Oryza sativa Japonica Group: one gene and its partners. The protein of the gene in region 3 binds, or shares a complex with, the protein of the main gene of each other region. Links are inferred from orthologs where the notes say so. Each region holds a gene or a part of one and is shown on either strand. Other genes may lie near its edges.

What was found.
Region 1: large ribosomal subunit protein uL15c (region 3) and large ribosomal subunit protein uL1c share a complex: the UniProt entries of both Arabidopsis thaliana proteins name them as parts of the 50S ribosomal subunit. The link is inferred for Oryza sativa Japonica Group from reciprocal best matches to the Arabidopsis thaliana genes RPL15 and EMB3126.
Region 2: large ribosomal subunit protein uL15c (region 3) and large ribosomal subunit protein uL5c share a complex: the UniProt entries of both Arabidopsis thaliana proteins name them as parts of the 50S ribosomal subunit. The link is inferred for Oryza sativa Japonica Group from reciprocal best matches to the Arabidopsis thaliana genes RPL15 and AT4G01310.

What each region holds. Positions count from the first base shown.
Region 1 is NC_089039.1:18,887,816-18,896,061, forward strand, and holds large ribosomal subunit protein uL1c, read left to right. Parts: upstream 1-3,162; 5' UTR 3,163-3,341; coding exon 3,342-3,710; intron 3,711-3,816; coding exon 3,817-3,996; intron 3,997-4,106; coding exon 4,107-4,161; intron 4,162-4,427; coding exon 4,428-4,555; intron 4,556-5,016; coding exon 5,017-5,100; intron 5,101-6,624; coding exon 6,625-6,750; intron 6,751-6,831; coding exon 6,832-6,969; 3' UTR 6,970-7,294; downstream 7,295-8,246. Other genes in the region: putative NAD kinase 3, read left to right, coding at 1-80. UniProt on the Arabidopsis thaliana protein: This protein binds directly to 23S ribosomal RNA.
Region 2 is NC_089037.1:1,438,581-1,446,176, forward strand, and holds large ribosomal subunit protein uL5c, read right to left. Parts: upstream 4,604-7,596; 5' UTR 4,536-4,603; coding exon 4,233-4,535; intron 4,100-4,232; coding exon 3,899-4,099; intron 3,508-3,898; coding exon 3,172-3,507; 3' UTR 2,919-3,171; downstream 1-2,918. Other genes in the region: probable polygalacturonase, read left to right, coding at 31-333, 1,487-1,607, 1,720-1,894, 1,990-2,060, 2,159-2,841; beta-carotene hydroxylase 2, chloroplastic, read right to left, coding at 5,889-5,978, 6,278-6,334, 6,458-6,583, 7,517-7,596. UniProt on the Arabidopsis thaliana protein: Binds 5S rRNA, forms part of the central protuberance of the 50S subunit.
Region 3 is NC_089037.1:6,338,887-6,347,163, reverse strand, and holds the start of large ribosomal subunit protein uL15c, read right to left. Parts: upstream 4,199-8,277; 5' UTR 4,140-4,198; coding exon 3,722-4,139; intron 3,556-3,721; coding exon 3,404-3,555; intron 2,418-3,403; coding exon 2,196-2,417; 3' UTR 2,182-2,195; exon of another isoform or gene 2,080-2,181; intron 1,440-2,079; exon of another isoform or gene 1,220-1,439; intron 429-1,219; 3' UTR 406-428; intron 293-405; 3' UTR 1-292. Other genes in the region: uncharacterized protein, read right to left, coding at 4,731-5,464, 5,634-5,707, 6,506-6,624, 6,694-6,759, 6,845-6,911, 7,015-7,176.

The DNA of each region.
Region 1 (8,246 bases), on a different chromosome or scaffold from region 3:
CTGACTTCCTGCGAAGCATCCATGAGGGCCTCCACTGGAACCTGAGGAAGAGCCAGTCGTTTGATGGCCCTGTTGCATGATCAATGAACTTCTGGTCTGGAAAATTCGATGCGTCTGTTGAATTGGTAGATGTGGTATTTCAAAGCATCTCCTCAACAGTCCAAGAGAAAGAGAAAAAAAAAAAAACCCTAATCAGATGTATGTACCTACGTCAGTTATGCCGTTAATTGTCTAACAGATCATCTCCTTTACCATTCTCTGTACACAAGATTTGTACTGTTTCTAGTATATTTTGGGCTTATAGGTCTGTGCAGAGTCCAAAGGCATGCCCACCATGTCCATGTAAAGCGCTTTTACATGATGAAGAGTCTTTGTACAAGAAGCAATTGAGCAGACTTCTTCACTGCTATTTTCTTCTTCACAAAAATATATGAATAAATAAATTAAATCTTCTCCATAGATTAATGTATTAACGCAGACGTGCAATAACCATTTTTGTAATTCTGTGGTGCTGAACTGTTGATGCCTAATGATCAGGGAATACCCGTGTAGTGACGTCCCTTGTGCCATGCAAAATTTCTCCAGAAGTACGTATCACACGCAGTCTAAATCGTAAATGGCCAGACCTGATCGCGGCTGCCTAACGCTAGTAAACAAAACGTTCACGATTACCACGCTGCCTCCTGCCTATCACGTGCGAATGCGATGCTGAACTGAACTGAACGCCTCTCGAGCTGGAGAGCGGTGCTACTACCAACTGCTCTGCATCACACGAAAATGGTGAAACCGAGAACTGACACCGTCTACAAACTCCACAATAAAAAAAAGAAACGACCACGGATAAGGTCCGCTCCAAAACCACAATTTCTTCCCCTTGAAACGGAGAGATATATGTCTGAATCTGTCTGTCACGCTCTCACTAGACACTAGTCACTCCTGGCGTTGAAAAAAACCAAACGAGCAAGTACCTGCCAAGGTACAGAACATTCGTAAGGAGAGTTCCAGAACGAGCAACGCATGAGGGCAAGTACTATGATGGTTGATGTGTTGCCTCTAAAAATGCCACATAGAATTAAATGATGAGGTGGAAGTAATAAGTGAGGAAAGAGAAAGTGAGCTAACTCTCATGTAAGGGGCAACCTCCATACAAACCCTAAGAAAAAGAAGATGAAAGAAAGAGGGGATTGGACAAACAAATAAAATATAATTATTTGGGTTGGTATGATAGAGGTGGTGTAGATATGGTGTGTTGTATATGTTACCTCTTATCTTACATGGATAAAATTAGATGTAGCAACTATTCCTACTATAAAACTTGCCCTGATTGCTATTACATATGGCTCTCAGCTGCAACCACACCGTCTCCCCGTCTCACCCTCCACACACTTGTCCGGCTTCCCCGCGCCGAGGCCGCGCCCCTCGGCGCGCTGCTTTGTCCAGCCGAACCAGCCGTTCTTTCCTTCATGCAATCCTGCCGCAAGTAGGCTCTCCTTCAGTACATCAACAATCAAAGACACTACTAGAATGCCCTCACTAACTAAGGACACCCATAGACTGACTCTGGAGGTCTGTCCTCACAGTGGAGGATACCCATACCTAATAGCTTCAAAATCTAAGGAAATTTAAGGGCACCAGTTGAAGACACGCATACCACAGTGGGTGTCTCGGCCCAAATAGCCGCCAACGACCTCGAGGATTTGGGGGACGGGCGCAAGAGAGAGGGGGAAAGGGGTGGAAGAGGAAATCCTCGCTAGGGCGTGTCGCCTGAAGCAACCGTACCCACGCAACGCTTCGACCGACGCCTGGGCGAAAACGAGCTGGGGGTGCGTCCCCAGCGAGGCATCACACGGTCTTGCGAGAGAACACCTCGTTTGCTTTTTCAAACGGAAGGAGACGGCGTCGGGTGGGGGGACGCCCTGGAGACACGCATTGTTGATGCTCTCAGAACCCATGAATTGCATAAGATTAAGACATTCAGTCCAATTTCTTCCAATATTCTTTCTAAAAGAGATCTTGTAAAGTTTGCATGTGACAAAAAAAAAAGAACTACTACATAACACTATACTGTTACAACAGAATACCTTATGGTGCTAACATCAGCACAGGATCGTAGGTATCATATTTGTATGTGCACTGGATCTGGTACTACCAGACACGATATCCATTAATACCACATTATCAGACTCTCGTATTGGTTCCTATTTCCTTCGTCCCATAAAAAATCAATTTCTAGGAATGAATCCGGACAACATTCTTAGGACATTCACAGTGCGCTACATATTTTTGCCGTTCCTCATATGCCACGTAGACGAAGAACCTGTTAAGCTTCATCCTCTACAATGCAAGTACTAGTAGTGGGTCCCACCGGTACAGTTTTTTCAATTTTCATCTCTCAATCTCTCTCTCTCCTCTGTTTCTTTTCTCATCCGAAATCTTTCATCCCCCAATCTCTCACTCTATTTCTTTTCTCACCAGGGCATCCGAGGCGCTGGGGCTGAGCGGCGGCGGCTGTCAGGGCAGCCCGAGCTGCGACGGTGCCGGACGGCGAGCTCCCATCCTCATCATTGGATACGGTGGCGGTCGCAGCCTCTTCGTCGATGGCGCCTTCCTCTCTCTCTCTCCCCGTGGCTGTGGCGACAATGCGCTCGCTGTCGACGCTGCGCGAAGCCACTCGTGTGAGGCTCCGCCCTCCACAACACGACAACTCACCTTTCTCCCTGCTTTCTTCGTTTGAAGAACGAGTATCCATGTTTGGGTACGAGAACCTTATTTGGCTCCGCGTACTGTCAATGCGGCGCCGAATATTCAGTTCTTGGCTATGGGGCTGAACGTCACATCCTTCTACTGTGAACACTCTTAGAAGTTGTATCTTTTGGGATAGAGAGTGTAGGTACTCTGATGGTACGGCCAGACATTTCTGATACTCTCGCAACTAACAGATTATGGGTAATGGTTCGTAGTATTTTTAAAAAGTAAATAGCACTACATTATCGGTGGTTCTTTTGGACCGTACCCAGTAACGGCGAAATCGTGAGCTTTTGGGCCCAATCCGACGCCCGCGGCGCCGCAGCGCACCACCCTCCCCCAACCGTCTCCCCCGCGCGCGCGGGCACACACGGCTCGGCTAATCCAAAATAGCCCAAATCGCACGAGTCCTCCCCCGTCCCCCGCGACGCGCGAGCGAGAGAGAGCCCTATCCGCTGCGCGCTTCGCCCGCTCGCCTCGCCCTCGCCTCACCGGCTATTATAACACTCTCGCGCTGCCACTTCGCCTTTTCCTCCCCTTTCTATCCTCCACCTCGGCTTATCTCCTCCCCCCTCCCCACCACCACCACCACCACCATGGCCACAGCCGCTTCCCTCTCCGCCACCGCCTCCTCCCTCCTCGCCCCCGCCCCCGCCACCACCGGCGCCGCGGCGGCGCAGTGCTGCTCCTCCTCGTCCACCGCGCTGTTCCCCACCCCCGTCCCGTCGCTGCGCGCCTACTACCCGCGCCTGCTCCTCGCGTTCCGCCGCCCCGCCGTCGCCGCCGTCGCAGACCCGCAGGGCGCCGTGCTCGAGGAGGAGCAGGGGGAGCAGCAGGACGAGGGGCAGGAGCAGTACGACGACGACGACTACGACGACGGGTACGAGGGCGGACGCGGCCCCGCGTTCACGCCCCCCACCCGCCCGCGCACCGGCAAGGCCGCCCTTCCGCTCAAGCGCGACCGCGTATGCCCCCCCCGAATCCAGCCTCCCCCCCGCGTGTTCATCCATTCGTGTTGATTTTTGGATTGACGCTGACGCCGCGTTCGCCTTTTTTTTGATGGGTTTGCAGACGAGGTCGAAGCGATTCCTGGAGATACAGAAGCTGAGGGAGAGCAAGAAGGAGCACGACGTGCCCACGGCCATCTCGCTGGTGAAGCAGATGGCCAGCGCCCGATTCGTCGAGTCCGCTGAGGCGCACTTCCGCATGAACCTCGACCCCAAGTACAACGACCAGCAGCTCCGCGCCACGGTTATTGCTCTTTCTCTCTGCTGTTGCCATTGTTACGTACGTTCTGTTCTGGCTTGTGTTTTATCAATCGTTTTTGATGATATTGGATCGGTTTTGGTGATGATGTGCAGGTTAATTTGCCCAAGGGGACGGGCCAGTCGGTGAAGATTGCGGTCCTCACACAAGGTGGGTTGCAATTACATTTTGGAGATTGTTATCGCAGCACCAATTCCAATTGCAATCTTTGGTGCATGGATTGATTAGGTCACTGCTAGTTGTGTCTTTTAGGTGTGGTTTGCCTGCTTGATCATGTGGTTATTTACGGTTCATTAAATTGGAAGCACGCTGTTATATAGTGAATTGAAATGGAAGTATGTGAATGCGCGCTAGTCACTAAAGTGGTGCACTAATCACTAGCACTATGTAATGGCTATTGTCAAATATCCTTGCAGGTGAGAAGATAGATCAAGCAAGAGCTGCAGGAGCTGATATTGTCGGTGGAGATGACCTGATTGACCAAATAAAAGGAGGATTTATGGAATTTGACAAGCTGATTGCATCACCTGATATGATGCCTAAGGTATGGCATTAGCTGCATAACTCATGTCTAAAACAATTCCAAGCATTATGAAGACTTGTCTTTTTGCATGTCTCCGACATAGTTTATCCCACATCCAAATGAACACGTTATGTTTCAGTGTTATTAGGAACCACAAAACCAGGCAACATTTAGTTGTATTGATCAGATATTGTTTTCTTATCATTACCTGCCATATCTGATCCATCCCTTCATATTACAAGTGTCTAGCATTTACGATTATGATTTGAGCCATAATGGAGATATGCAAATTTGGTTCACTCAGAGAAAATAGATTCGATAAGCAAATAAGGTTCTACTGTTTTGAATTGGTACATTCTTCGGAAGTTTGGATGCAGTTCTGCAATAAGTGTTGAGCTCCATGCAAGACCTGCATGGAAGTTTTAAAGGTGTGCTACTAGCTCGGCATATTATGTTGTTGATTTTGGTCTTTTGCTTCACAGGTCGCCGGATTGGGAAAGATTCTAGGACCGAGAGGACTTATGCCTAACCCCAAAGCTGGGACTGTTTCTCCAAACATAACTCAGGTACAATGGAAATTCTACAGATTACTATATGTATTGACACTGTTGCTTGTGGTTTTCTCTCCCATTTGCTTGGTTATTGTGACCCTGAGTGAAAGGTGGGTAACTGTCCATTTACCTTCTTTGATCCTTGGTGAACTTCTGTTTTATCCTCGTTCAATGCAATAGGCAGAACTCCTGCCCTTTTGTTCAAAGAAGTTGTCCATTTACGTCATCTCAGTACTTACCTCATAGATGCACTTCTGGGAGAAAACCTACTGATATATTGCTACCTTGTTTAGTAGTCTTCATTGTGTGTGCAATATATTTCAGTGGTTCGATTTTCAGACATGTTGATAGACATTTTTTTAACCTTGTTATTCGTAGATAGAAGGTTTGAAATTTTGTTTGTGCCAACTGAATTTGAGGATATGCATGGATGCATAGCTCCATCGTTCGTTTGTTGGCTTATCAACGGCAGCCAAAATCTGGATTTTGAAACTTAATTTAGAATTGATTTTGAGGGGTTTTTTTTATTGTGCTTTATTCTCCAGTGCTGGCTTTTGAATCGCTAAGAACATAGATATAGACGTTTTACTCAAAAGTTATTTTTGGTTGCTTCGTCATTTTTCCACGGCTTATCAGCCATAGAGCAAATGATCGTGTAATGACTGATGATGATGGTAATCTGCTACTTAGCCTGCATAGTGCCTCCGTAACAGTTATGTAAAGCATCACAACAAATCTGCAAAATAGAGAAAACAGGTAAAGTAGGCTACTTGACTGTTAGGAACAACCATCATTTATAACGGTTAACTGAAGGACAGGAGTGGGAGCATTTGTGAAAAATCTAGCCCTTTAGGTAATGAACTGGGCTATATTGTGCTCATATATCTATGAAAAGGGCCCAATTTCTCTAATTTAATACTTCAGTAGATAGATTCAAGGCTGCAATATACAAATGTAACCTTAGCATCAGCCATGACTACAATAATTGATTAATGCTCATACAGCTATTTTCAAATGAACATGGGAACCTCTAAATCTTGTCAATCCTCGTTGTCTCTATAAATTGTTCTTCAAATCAAGTCTGCCTAATGCCAACAATGGTTGAAGTTGTGTACCAGTCATCTTGTTCTATTCATGTTTCTACATGTAGAGAAATTCTAACTTTTGCCATTGACACACATGTAAAAGGATGTCATTGTTTATAATCATATAATGTCATTTGTGATTGTTGTACCAGTACAAAACTGAAGTATTTGAACATTTTGCTTGAAGTATTAAGTTGTAAATGGAGATTGACAGGGGCGGAGCTACATAGAGCTAGGGGGGTGCCCAGGAACCCGGTTGAAAATTTTTTTTAGCTATAGTTTGTCCATTTTCACCATATATATACTCTGTCAGTTCAAATTTAGACACCCGTATCAAGCTAAATTTGATTCAAACTAGAGTAAAGCAAGCAAGTGGAACCCCCCTTCATTTTGTGCTAGCTCCGCCCCTAGAGATTGATTATGTTAATTATGTTAACTGTGGAAATGGTTTCAGGCTATCGAAGAGTTCAAGAAAGGTAAAGTTGAATACAGAGTTGACAAGACAGGGATTGTTCACATTCCCTTTGGGAAGGTTGATTTTCCTGAAGAAGACCTTATTGCAAACTTCATGGCTGTTGTTGTAAGATATCTGCTCCTATAAGCATCTTTATTGATGTAACTTAAAACCTATGCTGACCTGCCTTCTGCTATATCTTTACAGCGCTCTGTCGAAAGGAACAAACCATCTGGTGCAAAGGGGATATACTGGAAAACGGCATACTTATGCTCATCAATGGGGCCTTCAATCAAGTTAAACATCAAAGAAATGCTTGACTATGGCTCAGAATCATCAGACTAAATGCCACGAAAAGCACCAGTTAAGAAATCTGGTGTTTGCTACCACCTTCACAAAATTAACCATCCACCCTTAGCGATAAATGAACCGGGAAACATGGTGGGGGAAGGCAAGGGAGGTGCTTAGGTACAGTTTTTTTTTCAGTCTCACCTGCATCCATCCAGCAGTTACACGATGCCCAAGTCGACGAAGGGGTGATATTGTTGGCCATTTGTACTTACGAGCAAATTATTTACGGACTTATAGATGTGTTTTCTGAGATGTTTGTTGTAATGATCAATATTTTGTCCATAGTCATCCTTGAGCTTACGACAGCAGTTTATTCTCACCAGTACTTGCGGTTCCTGAATCGTTGCAAGTTTGCATTGTGCCATTTTTGAATGATAGCAGCAGCGGTTCGATTTATGCGAGAATAGTAATACAAGTACTATCTGAAGCTCTTATGAAAATTTTCTGAAAGCAAGCTATGTATCACTCGAGCACATTCGGGACTAGAATCGTTTATATAGATGTTAATGGATTAGACACTGAAACGGAGGAAGTACTATCTTACCATAGCAATATAAATATAGATATCTATATTAATGGTACGATAAAATGTTTTATGTAGTATTAACTTGCTATATTTTAAAAAAGAATAAAATATGTTTCATTTAGTATTAACCTGCTACATTTTAAAACGGAGGAGGCAGTCGTATAGCGGAAACTAGGATATGATGCTAATGATTTCGATACGGAGTACTCTGTATTTTCTTAGTTTCAAAATGTTACTGTCTCCCATCTTAAAAACAAGTAGTACTAATAGTCTAACATAACTATAGTCTATCCATTCGGTTGGGATGTCTAAAAAAAATCCAACCTAGTTGGGGACGAGACATAATCTAATATGATTAATCTAGATAGTGGCTAACCTAGTTGGGATGGGATACAATATAGTATAATGAATCTGGACACGTATGCGTGGGATGTCTAAAAAAAATCCAACCTAGTTGGGGACGAGACATAATCTAATATGATTAATCTAGATAGTGGCTAACCTAGTTGGGATGGGATACAATCTAGTATAATGAATCTGGACACGTATGCGTATAGATTTGTTGCCAACTAGATTCAACGTCCATGTTTACATTCATTAGAAATTTAATATCAGAGCGATTGTTATTAGTGGGAATATAGAACTACGATGATAAATATCTCGTTTGGTTTAGATTATTAGACGGATTATTGATTTAATTAGTGATAAATTTAATATGTGCAAATAAACTTAACAATTGAGATAA
Region 2 (7,596 bases), about 4.9 Mb from region 3:
AGGGAATTTTGGTTGGTTGGTTGGTTGCAGGTGGTTTGCGCGGTGGCGCTGGTGGCGCTGTGCGCGTGCGGCGTCGCGGCGTCACCGTCGTCGCCGGCGGGAGCGGGGTGCCGGAAGCACGTCGCGAGGATCACGGAGTACGGCGGCGTCGGGGACGGGAGGAGGTCCAACACGGCGGCGTTCGCCAAGGCGGTGGCGGACCTGTCGCTGCGCGCCGGCGACGGCGGCGCGGCGCTGGTGGTGCCGAAGGGGAAGTGGCTGACGGGGCCCTTCAACCTCACCAGCCACTTCACCCTCTTCCTCGACCACGGCGCCGAGATCCTCGCGTCTCAGGTGATCTGAGCCACCAACAACATCGGTTGCATGCATCAACCCCCTCTCTTATTACCATTTACCATGATTAACTGCGCCATTATCTCTATCTCTATCTCGGCTGGTGTTTCGCCGCGAAAGTAGCGCATGTTAAATGTCCGGTTCCTACTACTAGCTCTAATTCACCTATAGCTAATCTAATAACCAATTTATATGATAGTCATGTCATACACACATTGTATCTTGGAGTCGAGTCCGTGCTGCAGCTGACTACATATCTGTAGCTCACTGCTTTTCTCTCTCATCTTTTATCTCATTAAAATATATTGTAGCTAGCTAATAGTCTGCTATTTTTCTCTCTCATCTTTTATCTCATTAAAATATATTGTAGCTAGCTAATAGTCTGCTATTGTCCCTTCTCTTACCGTCACACTTGTGACCAAACAGTCACACGCGACCGCCCTAAAGTTGGCGGGTACTAGCTACTTCCGTTTTATTGGCGTAGATGATGCTTTTTGCCAGGGAAAAACGCCTTTTTTGGTCTGGGGTCCCATATCTGTCCTCCCAGGCTCCCATCTGTTCTTGATGGAATCTCAAACTGGCAAACTGTTAATACGAACATTAACATGCTAAATGCCACGGTTACATGCTGTATTTTTTTTTTGTCGTAATCAACCTTATCTGATTGTCGCTCTCAAGAAATGGGAGGACAACGTATTAAGGCGGCGCTTAAATATGTGCCAAGAGCTGTATGTTGGGAGCTTGAACCCGGTGATGTGTCATTGCAATTGCGGTGGTTGCCTATTGTAAGGATGAGCTGGTGGCTATTGAATACATGTAAATGAACCGGTTTTGATCAGATAGCTGATTAATTAGTTTGGACCATTGAAGGTCAATCGATGTTAATGTGATCCGTTTCAGTTGCTAACCGTGCCGTACTGAGAGAAAGAGAATGGATTGGGAGTGTTAGGACAAAAGCTCTGCCATGTCATTTCAGAAATTTCTACTGTTATATGGTTGCTCCACTTTTATGCTTTGAATTTTGTCAGCACATAACTTGTGGACCTGCTACTCTTATCTGTTTTTGTTCACCCGTTTTCAGTTACTAGTGTAACTGGTTCATCTCTCATTATCTGAAGTGTTGACAGTCTAAGCTGTTCATTTCGTTCTTCAGAACTTGGAAGATTGGCCTCTGATAGCTCCTCTGCCATCCTACGGAAGAGGAAGGGACGAACCAGGCCCAAGATACAGCAATTTCATTGCTGGATCCAATCTCACAGATGTCATCATCACTGGTACACGAATGAATGCGTGATGAAGATTGCTATTTTCTCAACCTTTTCGTGTAACTGCTGTGATTGTGGTATATGTTTAGCTGTGGATATCTGAAATTGAGCAACATTTCAGGTAGGAATGGAACGATCAACGGCCAGGGCCAAGTCTGGTGGGACAAGTTCCACGCCAAGGAACTCACCTACACTCGCGGTTACCTGCTCGAGCTCCTCTACTCTAACAATATCATCATCTCTAATGTCACCTTCGTCGACTCGCCGTCATGGAATCTCCATCCCACCTACTGCACGTAAGAATCATCAGTACTCGCAACCAGAATTCAGTTTCTGAACGGTTAGATATAGATCATGATGCTCACCTTCTTTGTGTTCCGTGCTGCGCCAGCAATGTGACCATCAGCGGCATCACCATTCTAGCACCTCTCAACTCGCCCAACACCGATGGAATCGACCCAGGTATAAACATACAAGTCACACTGCACTTGATCAATGCTGCCATGAGGAAAGCATTGGTTTGTGCTAGATGTGATGAGCTCTTGTTGTCCATGGTGCAGATTCTTCCTCCCATGTCAAGATCGAGGACAGCTACATCGTGTCCGGCGACGACTGCATCGCCGTGAAGAGCGGCTGGGACCAGTACGGCATCAAGTTCAACATGCCGAGCCAGCACATCCTCATCAGGAGGCTCACCTGCATCTCCCCGACGAGCGCCATGATCGCGCTCGGCAGCGAGATGTCCGGCGGCATCCGCGACGTGCGCGCCGTGGACAACGTCGCCATCGACACCGAGTCGGCCGTCAGGATCAAGTCCGGCGTGGGGCGCGGCGGCTACGTCAAGGACGTGTTCGTCCGCGGCCTCAGCCTCCACACCATGAAGTGGGTGTTCTGGATGACCGGCAACTACGGCCAGCACCCGGACAACTCCTCCGACCCCAACGCTCTGCCGGAGGTCACCGGCATCAACTACAGCGACGTGTTCGCGGAGAACGTCACCATGGCCGGCAGGATGGAGGGGATTCCCAACGACCCCTACACTGGCATCTGCATGTCCAACGTCACCGCGCAGCTCGCGCCGGACGCCAAGAAGCTGCAATGGAACTGCACCGATGTCAAGGGTGTCGCCTCCGACGTCTCGCCGGTGCCGTGCCCGGAGCTCGGGGCGGCGGGCAAGCCATGCGCCTTCCCTGAAGAAGAGCTCGTCATCGGTCCGCCTGAATTGCCAACGTGTAGCTACTGAAATACTGATATAGGATGATAGTATGGTGTGGGTAATGGCCTGGGCTATGAGATGCTTGGGACCAAAGAGATATATATGATGTGGTTTAGTGAGTAAAGTTAAGCAGTTTGAAAATGCTGCCGGATAATCTCTTTACACCCAATTCATTTATGAGTGCTCATCTGCGAATGACCTGACCAAAGCAAAGCCTTTTCATTTTGTCTTCTGACAGTAAATACAGCACGTGACAAGATAACAAAATCATCAAACTTCTAAACGAAACTTTGCAAAAACAATGACAATTGACAAAGTGAGAAGCAAAGCTCAACGTGCCTAGGCAGCGGTTTGCAATCACCGTCTTCCCCTGCCCTTGCTCATGAAGTGGTGGCGCTTCAACCTCTTCTTCCGGATCACCACGGAGGACTTGATGTGCTCCGCGAACGGCATGCCAAGGAGGGTGAGCAGCCTGAGAGCCTCGTTGTCGGTCTTCGCGGTGGTGACGATGCAGACGTCCATTCCATTCTTCTTCCCACCGACCTCGTACGGGATCTCCGGGAACACGCCCTGATCACGAAGGCCTATGGTGAAGTTGCCATGGCCATCAAAGCTGTTGGGGTTGACACCAAGGAAGTCCATGGTCCTAGGAAGCCCAAGGTTGATGAGCCTATCCAGGAAGTTGAACATTACCTGCAGCAAGCCAAAATAAGCTCATCGATCAAACATATTCCCTAGGTTCCCAAATACTTGTCACTGGATACTATTCATATTTGAACTTTGATCACTTATATTTTTTAGAAAATAAAATGCATATACCTAAAAATATGCCATATTATTAAAGGTTGTTACTCCACATAGATAGGTATTAAACTTTCGTTCGTCCAACCATTTAAAATTTGTGGTCAATGTAAAATACTGACGGCCAACGGTGACAATAATTTGGAACTGGATGGAGTAATTGCAATTCTCACACATACTTTAGGCTATTATACTGTCATGCAAATCCCAAATTGATACAACATTGCAGTCCCCAATTTGTCAATGTCTGCATCGCAAGTAGCCAGAGGTACAGAGGACTCACCCTGCCGCGGAGCGTAACGGCAATACCAATGGTGTTCCCCTCGCGGATCTTGAAACTGGCGACGGACTTCTTGGCCTTCGTCTTGACGGGCCACTGGCCGGTGATCATGGCGAGGTCCTTCATGGCGGATTCGAGCCCCTTGGAGTTACCGGCTTCAGCCCCCAACCCGCAATTCACTACAATCTTCTCAACCTTGGGCACCTGAATAAAATCGAGAATCCAAAACACACTCCTCTAAGCTCAATTATTGAACAACAATCGAATTTCCCGAGTTCCGCAAAGAAATGGCCATGTCTATCCTATAATTGCGAGAAGGGAGACAGAGGTCGAACACCTGGTGGACATTGGTGTAGCCGAACTCCTCGGTGATGAGGGGGACCACCTTCTGGTCGTATACAGCCTTGAGGCGGTGCACCTTCTGTGCCTCGGTGGGGTCGACGAGGACGATGCCCGAAGGCGAGGTCGGCGGCGGCGCCGGCTTGGGTGGCGCGTCGGCCGCGGCGGAGGCGGCGACGCGGAGGGCTCGGCGAGGAGGCGGGGAGCGGAGGAGGAGGCGGACGTTACGGGAGGAGGAGGCGGTGGTGGTGACGGGGAAGGGGGCCGGCGAGGACGGCAGGGTCACAGCCGTGGCCGCCATTGGAGCGTGCGCGGAGACGGAGGTGGGAGCTGAGGAGGGAGCTTTATGCCATGGATGGATTACGGGATAAGGCGAGTTGGCTGTGGCTGGCTGCCGTTGCTGTCCAGTGTCGCAGGTGGGCTTTCTCGTCATGGTTCGGCCCATCGAACTGTTCGACATGGTTTCAGGCCTTAGGCCCATCAAAACCGTTGATTTGGGCCTTAGGCCCATCAAAACCGTTGAGTTGGGGGTGAACTAAACACGGCCTAAGAGAAGGGTAAAGTTACATGAGTCAACAACTGCAAGTCTGCAGTGTGTGAATTTCGATATATGCCTTGTTTTGGTCAACCGGTAACAGTGTTTGAGTATGTGGCCCATTCTGTATTTTCTAATGCACTACAGGACATCACTAGTATAGTAGTAGTATGCCATTAAACGATGACTTCAAACATAAAAAACGCCGATGAAGAGCTTAAACAAGATCAAGCAAACTCTGAACCTAGCAACAGTTGCTGGCAGATCAGCAGGAGATCTGCCACGCTTGATCAACATTGAAAAATGGACGGAATATCACGACGAGGATCCTCGTCACATGCTTATGCCTAACTAATCATGCAGTAACCGTAACATGCAGTTCTTTATAACCAGGGGACAATCACTAGGATCTGATTTGAAAGGTCCCAGATCACAACATTGCGCTTGCCCTACCTTGTTCTACCAAGGACCAGCAATGCCACGACCGTGATCCTGTGAGGATCGACTTGACACCAAGAGTAGAAACACAACGGACAATATCTTCCTTGTCAGTTTGCAACCTAATCCTGATAAACTACATTAACCTCCTTGACCTCAAGAAGTAACTGTCAGTCTGTGACCTTGTCACTTGTCAGGGCCTTAATGAACAGCCATTCAGCAGTATGGAGGAACCGCCTAGTGTGCATAAGCTTCATTAATTCTTCTTCACGGTCAAAAAGTAATCAGCCATGCATCACTTTCATATTTACATCCGGCACATCTCGTGAACAAGAGATACAGAATGTCGGCAAATAAAGAATATAAAAGAAAGTACACATTTTATCAGTGAACACCTCACTGTCAGCAGCACGACTCAACCAGACTAATAAATTCAGAATGGTACTGATTAATATATATCATTACCAGCAGTACTAGCAAAAGCATCAGCCATTCAGCCCCAGCACATCATTTCTAATACCTGTGTGCTCCACCGTCCAAATGAGCTTCCAAATATCTATCTAAATTATTCTTCTATTAACAGGACAGAAAAGCATATTACAAGGCTACAATTGCCACTGAAGCAAAAACTAATAAGAGATGACAGCAAATAAAAAGAAAAAAATGTGTGATAAGTAGCTCTCATTGGATCGCATCTAAGGTCTCTTTCCTCTTAATCCTCCTCTTGATCTCCTTCTCCAGCTCCTCAATCCCACCCACCTCCTCCAGCTCCTGTCAACCACATAAAACAGAGACATTTTAGAACATTTCAGACAATTTTTCCGACGATCACAAATATTTGTAATACATCTTAGAACATTTCAAAATTTCCAGTCCTTTTATATCAACACAGTTCAAATTCTACATTAGCTTCCCAATCACAAATTCATGCTTGCAATAAAGGAGTACTGCAAGTATGCAAACTACTCGACAAATGGACACCGTTGGAGCAGGAGTAAGCCAACAAGCATCCATGGTAGCATGGGGCACGAGGAAGCAAAGCATGAATAGCATGAGACACATCTCCTCACCTTGGGACCAAGGAACAGCCCATATGGCACACCTTCGAACTTGTCCATGTGATGTATCTGCAAGAATGAATGGCAGGCAAGGATGGATCAGCTCACATAAATTCAGAACCACGGCAAGAGAAGCTCAGAGACAGGGATGCGTGGTCGGCTGCAGTTAGGTGGAGAGCGACCGGGCCGGACCTGGTGGGCGGCGGCGACCCGCCGGAAGTAGGGCACGTTGGCGATGGGCCCCACCGGGAAGCGGCGGTGGACCAGGCCGTCGTGGACGAACATGTACGCCATCCCGAACAGCGTGATCCCGAGTCCCTGCGGCGAACGGACACGTCAGCACTTGGATCATCTCTGCCCAGAGCCCCAGATCACAAAAATTCAACCTTGGCAATCAAATTGAACAAAAAGAAACGCTGCTAGCGCTTGTATTTTACTTGTTCCGGTGAGACCGTTGATGGGTACCTCGCATGGGTGACCATGGCGCCGTCGCAATGCGACAACAATACCTATTGCTTTAGTACAATCTACGTTATAGGGGGAACTATTTAATCATTCGAGGGATGTTCTCTCATTTGCTTACAGAATATCCAAAGGTTATGAAATTTTTTGACAACACTCAGATAACATATCTGTGCAACTACATAAAATCTTATATTCAAACTCAACTCACACGTTGAGATATAAAAAATTAAATTCAATGTATGATTAGTAGCGTAATGTTCACATCTGAATTATCTTTTCTTTTATTCGTGTTGTGTATATGGAAGTTGAACATAATTTTTGGTGGACTGATAGATCTCACTATACTCTACATTATTACTTTTTAAAAAAAAAAATTCATAACTATTTGTATCGAATTTGAAAGAGAAAAATATACGAGATAACATCCCTCAAAGATATTAGAATCCATTATAGGTTTCTCTGGGAACTCATGGAGGCCAGGCCACTCCGTTTTTCTAAATTTTCTCGATCTCGAATGTTCAATTTTTTATTGTTTATCCGATGCAGCAAGGACATCAAGATCTTTTGGAGTTCGCTCTACGCTTTGGCTTCTCTTGACAGATAAATTCATTTTTTTTTGGCAGGCGGCCATGGAATGTGAATGTAATCAACTGAACATAGTACTACATCATGCACTTTTGTCATTTTAATACGGCCACGTTAAGCACGCTTGGTCAAATCCTGGTACAGTGTGTTTGAGAGAAGTGATGGGGATTTGGTTGAAATGGAGGAGGATCGACCACTCACCGCGCCGAAGCAGAGGCCGGGGACGAGGCCGCGGGTGAAGAAGCCGTAGGCGAGGAGGGACATGGCCGGGACGGCGTTGG
Region 3 (8,277 bases):
CTTGTCTAGATTCATTAGCATCCATATGAACATGGACAATGCTAAAAAGTCTTATAATATGAAATATTATAAAACGGAGGTAGTATTAAATTGCTGATATGAACATGCAATGCAAGCACAACTAGTCAAGATCTTGGTACGCAGTTCATAGCAAATCTGCACTGCACACTGAAATGAAGGGTAAATTTTCTTCTATGCCACTGGAAATTTACCCAAACCCTTATTTGCCAGTCATTCTCCCGATGCTGCGTGGACCTAGGGCCCGAATGAGGGCGATGATTTGCGTGTTAATCTAAAATACAAATAAATTTTATCATCAAAAGGCCATAAATAATTGTTTTTGATCAAATGGGAAACATCTCAACAAATTAACACCTTCACAGTCAAAGATGGAATAGAATTTACCTAAATAGTCAAGACTTCTTTTCCTAAAGAAATGTCGAAAAACAACAGGAAAATAACAAGTATGAGGTATAATTGAGATTATGTAAACGATTGAAACAAGAAGCAAATCAAACAAAAGAAGCATCAACGTCCACAGGGAGCAAGAGGGTGCAAGAATGAATCAAAGAGAGAGGAAAAAGAATTTCAAGCTGCAGTAAAAGGTGAGTTATGTCACCCTTTGAACTAACTCCTAAAGAAACAAGCAGCAGTAAGTGGCGATTTAAATCCCTGAATAAAAAATGAGAGAACATGAACATGAAGTTCAAAATGATGATATAACTGTAGTCAGTTTGAGCCTTTGAGGAGGGATGTGCTGTCCTTATTGTATTAAGTCAAACAAGAAACTACTTGTAATTTATGTGACAGTAGATATAGCAGTGTCCTTATATAACTTCTTCAAACAAGCAATATTCATGGATGAGTTCTGTTGAAATTTGTGTTCAAAATCAATTGTTAAGCACACATAGAATGACTTGCAACCCTATATAACATTTGCCCATTCTTGTCACTAGATGAACAGTGCAGCAATTAAGTGTGCATGCCCCCATGTGTGTCCAGCTGTCCACTTTCCCAGGAAATCACGAAATGTATACATGGACAATTAAGAAGCCCACAAGTTCACATTATCACATATGGGCATCAATTAAGACACTGAAATGATAACTACCTTCTTTTGAAAAAGGCAGGATCAAATAAGCGAAACAGAGTTTAGCTCCTAGATGAACCATCATTGTTTTTGTTTAGAAAGACTGTCACCAAACTATAACACAACATGGACAACAATACTATAGGCAACTTGAAGTATAAGTGCAAGATCACAAGAGGGTGAGGGTGTGTGTTGGGGGGTATGCATACTGACATTTGACATACATCACATTTAAAAGAGAGAAAATTCCTTCCATACCCCTGAAATTTTAGCCGATCCCTTCTATGCCCATGAATTTCCTTCACTCCCTTGTATACCTCTGAATTTTGATTTGGATCTCTTCCATACCCTTGCCGTTAATTGACCGTTTAATAGGTATATAAAAGTCAGTTTTACCCTTCAATATGTGAGGAATATGTAGAAATTTGTAAACTATATTGTTGGAAGTATAAAATTTGTTGTGTGATTATCATATTCATAAGTTTTATGTACATAAAAAATTTAATATATATTTAAAAAGTACATGTAGCATTTTTTTAAATGATAAACATAGTTTTGGAAAGCATTCCTATATAATATATACAACAGGAGAAAATATGTTGAACTACCATAAACAAATGCTACATATACTCTTTTAGTAGGTAAATAAATATTAGTTTTTATGTCATTAGGTAAAAATAAACTTTGCCATGAATAATACCTTGTACAATAAAGTCATGAATATGATAGTCTTATATAACAAAATTATACACTTCCAACAATATAGCTAGTCTACAATTTTTAGATTTCCTTCATGTCTAAGGGCAAAAAGGTCCTTTTCATTAGAATTAAACATTCAACTAACGGTATGGGTATGAAAGGGATCAAAACCAAAATTCAGGGGCATACAAAGGAGTGGACAAAACTCGGAGGCGTAGAAGGGATTGGCTAAACTTTCAGGGGTATAGAAGGAATTTTCTCCATTTAAACAGGAAACACACAAAAAAAAATGCTTGCATATCGCACGGATTCAAAATTCGTTGAACGTGGAACTTTTGGAACAAGGTAAGAGAAATAAGTATATGTTAAAGAAAAGGGTAAAGGAGAAGTACAGTGTATATGAATTCTATGCAGATGCTTCATCAGATTCACCAGCACCACCATTTTTCTTGCTAAAGTATTCTTCTGCACGAGCTTGGTTCTTCAGATAAGATTGTGGTAGCCATTTCTTCCGCTTTGGTACCAGACTTAAAGTACAACCAGCTGCCTCGAGCTTCTCCTTGGCTGAAGCAGAGAATGCCCCAGCCTTGATATTCAACTTGACTGATACATCACCATCTCCTAAAATCTACAGATAGGTTTTCAAAAGTTAGCATACTAATACTACCCGCATGATAAAAGATACAATAACAACAGCAACATTGCAGTATCATTGTACTCAAACAAAGATGAAAGGAACGCCATCTGCTGAACATCAGAATCAGATGTCAAGAAGGAAAAAGCCTATCATAAGGATAAAGTTGATAGCTCCCCACATTATGACTTAGGTCTTGATACCTGTTTTAGCCCTGTGGGTTTTACCTTATATGTACCACATAGCTAGGAGCCTAGAGTATAGAAAAAATCAATCAAATGAAATAGGACCAGAAAGAACAATAAAAGTTGAACAATTATGCTATTCAAGGTGCATTAAGTTCCACCCTTGGAGAAGTCTTTGTCACATCAGTGATCAAGCGCCACACCACTACCCACTATAAGGGGCAACCCAGTAGCACACTAATGCATCTACTCCAGCAATCCGCCAACTAAGAGTGGAGACAAACAGTAAATATTTTGGGTATGTTGGGAGTGATGCAGACATGCAGTGGTACATGTAAGAGCACATGGTTTTGTTGGGATCTTGATACCACTTCATGTTTATGCCTGACAGATATGCTCATATGCAGGCCTACACCATGTGTGGGTTCATCATAACTCATACGTTCTAGATCCTTGAGTAGCCAATAGAAACACTCGTCAAATCATACCGTGTTTGTCCAACACGAGCTAAGAAAATTGATCCCGACACACAACTTTGAGACTTCGAATACTCAACTTGGTAATTGCTGCTAAGGACAGACCAACACAGCAACATTTGAGAACTACAAGAAAAAAAAAGGCCAGCCATTCAATCCACAACATCAACAACTAAAGGATTACCCAAGACTGCTGGTGAACTTGATGAATTCACTGGCAAAGATCAAATGCAAGGCATTCATATTTCAGTTTTCAGTAAAACATGGTCATCTACAGAACCGACTTAAAAAAAAGAAGGATAATCGTCGTATAGTGTACCTTCAGAGGAAGCTTTCTCTCCCTGCCAGACGGATTAATCAAACCCCTCGATTTCAAGGATTCCAATGATATCTCGTCACCATCCTTGAACCCGCCACGCGCCAAGTCTCTCAAATTGAACGGCACATACTTCGGCAAGCCAATATGCATTCCTGCAATCGCAAGGTAGAACTTGCAACGGGTCACTTCTCAATCCCAGCATTTCTGCATTCCAAATGGAAGGTGCTAGCGTGTTCCCACTCAATTTCCAGTGCATTTGAATGTGTGAGGCTTCGATTGAGGGCGAGGAGGGGAAGCGGGAAGCTCGAAGAGACTCACCTCCAGCAATGCCGCGCAGCTTGGGGATGCGGCGGTAGAGCGGCATCTGCCCTCCCTCGAACCCGCGCCGGACGCCTGGCCCCGAGCGCGACTTCTGTCCACGCATGCCGAACCCGCAGCTCGCGCCCTGCCCCGCCGCGATACCGCGCCCCTTCCGCTTCGGCCGCCGCCGCGACCCCTTCTGCGGGCCCAGGTTGTCGAGCCGGAACTTCTCCGCGGGCTCCGCCTCCGCGGCCTCGGCCGCCGCGGCGCTGCACACGACCGTGACGCAGCGGCGCGGGCGGGCGCGGAGGACGACGGACCGGCGGCCGGAGATGGGGCCTGGAGCGGCGACGAAGGAGGTGGAGAGCGAAGTGGAGGCCGGGAGGTGGAGCAATGTGGCCGCGGGAGCGAGGGAGAGGAGGGTGATGGACGCCATGGCGGTGGAGCGGAGAGCGCGCCTGAGCGGCTTGCTGGTGTGGGTGGATAGAAGGGGATAATTGGGGAAGGACACGAGGGAGATAAGACGGTTGGATAAATGGGCCATGAATCCAATTAACCCTTGGGAATTTGGGCCTCTTTTCCCTCTATTTTGTGAATGGTTTCGTATTACTCACTTTGCTTCTTGTTTATTAAAGGATTTTAGAAGGTTTACAAAAGTTTATGAATAGAATAGAACTGAATTTATCTTCTTAAGAAATGAACATATTTGGATTGATCTTCCACACACAATCAACCAAAGAGAAAACCTGATCTTTGCTGTTCTTCAAGAGACTAGTACGGAGAGAAACTGATGGGTCACACAACCTGACAGAGTTAAGTATACTGAACTGATCTATGCTAAGAAAAGAAAAGGTGAAATGAGAAAGGAAGAAACGAAGACATGTACAAGACACATGCTTCACAGGATCGTCCCGTTGCATGTCTAGCAGTAGACAGGTGCAAGGAATTAAAAGTAAGTGTTACAACTGTAGTCTGGATAATTGTACGTCCAGGCCTCAGCTGAAAGAAACTAATGGAACTCTGGCCATCAACCATCTGAAATGTCAACAACGATACCTCTAGTTGGTGAGTTCAATGGTGACGATGCAGCTTGGCCAGCTTGATCCTCTGCTGCTACATGACTACTTACAGGATGATCTGGCAATGAACTTACATCAACTCGATTAGCTTGCACATTTTCAGATTTGTCATTGTCCCCCTGGCTTAGGGGGTAAGAGCCAGCACTGCTAGAATTTCTGCCATTTTCTACAAAAGATGTAGAACTAGCACCTTCACTGCCACTATTGGATTCCCTAGCAAGAACAAGTTTCAGTAACTTCTGCCGCTTTCTTCTTTCGGTTCTTTTATTTATCAAAGGCACCTCATCTTCATCTGACTCATCCACAGAATAGTAATTCAACCATTCAATGATTACAGAGTAGGAACCATCCCACTTGCTTATTTTTCTTTTCTTCTGTCTGCTGCACTCTTGATTCTTCTTTAGTGAGGTTGTTCTTGGACGCTTCGGTGCTTCCTGAACAGTTGTGGCGGTTAGACGGTCCAAACCAATATCCTTTGACAATTTGATTTTCTTATTAGCTGTGTCTCTTGAAGAGGACTCCATTCCAGAAATACCAATAGAGTCATCAGGAGGAAACCCAGCAGAGGTTTCTTCCAGTTCATGCTTATTGCCTTTTCCACCCTTAATTGATGCATGCGCATTGTGCCAACTTCCAGGGGCTGATTCTTCAACTTTGCAATCAGGTGCTTCTACAGATAAAGCTACCAACAAAAATTAGCAGTATCATCAATTTGTATGAGTAGGCATACTAAGAGTTTAAAATGTATATCTGCAGTAAAGAGTCATCTCAAGGCATTTCAACAAAATAGACTGTTTTATGGTCTTAAAATGTTATCATAACTGGAACCTCCTTTTTAAGCCAAATGTTACCTTTTGAACCCTCTACACAACCTGATGATGATCCTTGAACTCTGTGATAGCTACCAGTGCACCGCTTCTTGTGCCTATATATATATTAATACAGAAAGCCAAATCATGACTCCATCCATGAACTCAATGACACTAAATTTAGAGTAAGTTGCATCCCAGGACCCCAAGGAGGAGAAAGAGCATGATAGTTGTTCAGGTATTACTAATCTTGTTTGGCTGCTGGACATGTCGATTTCACCTCCAATAAAGAAAAATTTATGTCAGATCATTTACCACTTTTTAGATTATGCAATTGCCAAAGTGACAGGACAACACAAAGAAAATGTTAGATATTGAAGCAGACACCCATCATTACCTTCTTAGTTTAACATCTCTCTTTGTCAAATTTAACAATAATAATAGTTGATTTATTTGTTCATCACAAACTGAGGTTTACATCCTACCTCCCACATTGCAAGGATACACTAACAAGGCAGAGAGTAATAAATTACACATTTTGGAAATTACACAGTTAGCTTTAAAATGTACATCTAGCTTATATTTCTATGAATATTTATGTGCACTCTTAGGCTGTGTTCAGTAATGGAGGATGGGAACCTATCCCCTCCGCACGGAAAACGGAGCGGTTCATTAGCGCATGATTAATTAAGTATTAGCTAATCTTTTTTTAAAAAATGGATCAATATGATTTTTTAAAGCAACTTTCGTATAGAAACTTTTTGTAAAAAACGCACTGTTTACAGTTTGAAAAGCGTGCGCACGGAAAACGAGATGGATGAGTTGGGAACTGGGGATTCCGAACACACCTTTAGAGATATACCAATAAGGCATGCATGGAACAAAAAAAATGCAAAGAAATATATAGCTAATACCAATGCCAGTGACAAATTAAACTGTCACACAAGTCATTAGCACCCATTGCCTCAATGCAGTCATCCTGTGATGGTCCTTTGATTTTGGTTGACTTGATCAAATCTCCACAGCTTTCACACTACAGAGATTGTTAGCTGCCAATCTGAAATTAGAAAATAAGATTTACTTTTAAAGATCAGGTTCTTACTTTGTGTATATAAAATTTCTTTCTGATCTCATGGAACACAGTTATGCTGTAGCCACCAAGAGGACGCTGGATATAATTAAAAATATCGTTACGATAATAAGAAATATTTAAGCACATGCTGATTGAAAATTGACACCTGAATTCAACTTACATGAGGATCGGCTACAGAGTTTAAATTGATTGTATTCATCAGTTTCTGGAATTTTGGCCCATGGTCACTGCTTGATCACAGTTTTTAAATTAGTCAAAACGAGAAAAAAAAAAGTAGACAGAAATTCAGGTGTAATACAAGAAGAGGCCAGTCATGGTACTAAAAAGTACCTATGGTTATCATTACTATCTTTGATGCACATATAAGCATGAATCATTTCATGAAGCAGCGCATTCTTTAAATCCAAATCTGTGTGGTGTTCATACAAGGATCTGGAAAGAAGTATAATACAGCCACCACCACCAGGATAATATTCACAGCCACCTACTTCACTGCATCAAAATGATTAAAAATGGAAAGTTTCAAAACAATCATACTGGTAATAGCAGGTACTATGGTCTTTGATGAAAGTTTCTTATTTCAGAGAATAACTATAGAAGAAAACAATTATAGGCAATAACTCACAAAGTTATCCAATAGTACAGAGTTTATGTGAAAAAGATAGTGTTAAGATGAAAATATGGAAGGGTCGGATGGTCAGCATCATTTCCAGTCAATTATAGTTGACGATTATGAGCTAAATGACACTATGACAGACAACTCACGAATCTTGTTGAACATGCTTGCTAGAAAAATATGCACATGACAGTGCCATAAATGTGGCTGACATACTTCATAATTGTGCATAGCAATACATCAGTCACTGTGTTCCATTCAAAATGCTATGCACATTCACCAATAGATTTGCAAATCAAACATATTTGGGAAGTATATAGGGCTTGTTCACTTTGGTGCCAAAAACAACCTTACCAAAATTTGGCAGGGTAGGAAGTGGCAAGTTTTGGTAGCGTTGGATACTTGGATGTGTTTTGTTAGATTTCTTTCCAAATTTTGGTTGTGTCATTATGAGTGGGAATGGGAAACTTTCAGAACTACCAATTTTGGTAGAATAGCAATGGTAGAACGTGGCAACAAAATGAACAGAATGAATAGGCCCATAGATATGATACCAGTGTCTTCGAAGTTCAAAACAACTGGAGCAGAGATGTCTATGTAATCAGTCTAAGAGTTCAAGCGACTTTTTCATTCTACTGTCTAGATAAATTTGTTCACTCCTTCCCAAAAGTAAATGTTTTTACACTATTTTCCCATTTCTTTCTAGAAAGCATGCCAAAAGCATACATTAAATCTTTCCACTTTTTCATGGTTTAGACCTAGGCATTGATCCATACTCTCAAAGAGTGTAGTTTTTACGGTCAATGAACAAGAGAACGACGCAAAGATTTAGAGGTTAACAGATAGAACTGCAGATAATGACAAGGCATAATCGTGTAGAATAATATGGATCACCTATGTTCTGGCTGAACGTTTAGATCAAAATACCCGAATATGGATAATCCCCTTTGATGCCCTAATTCATTTTTAGGGGATTG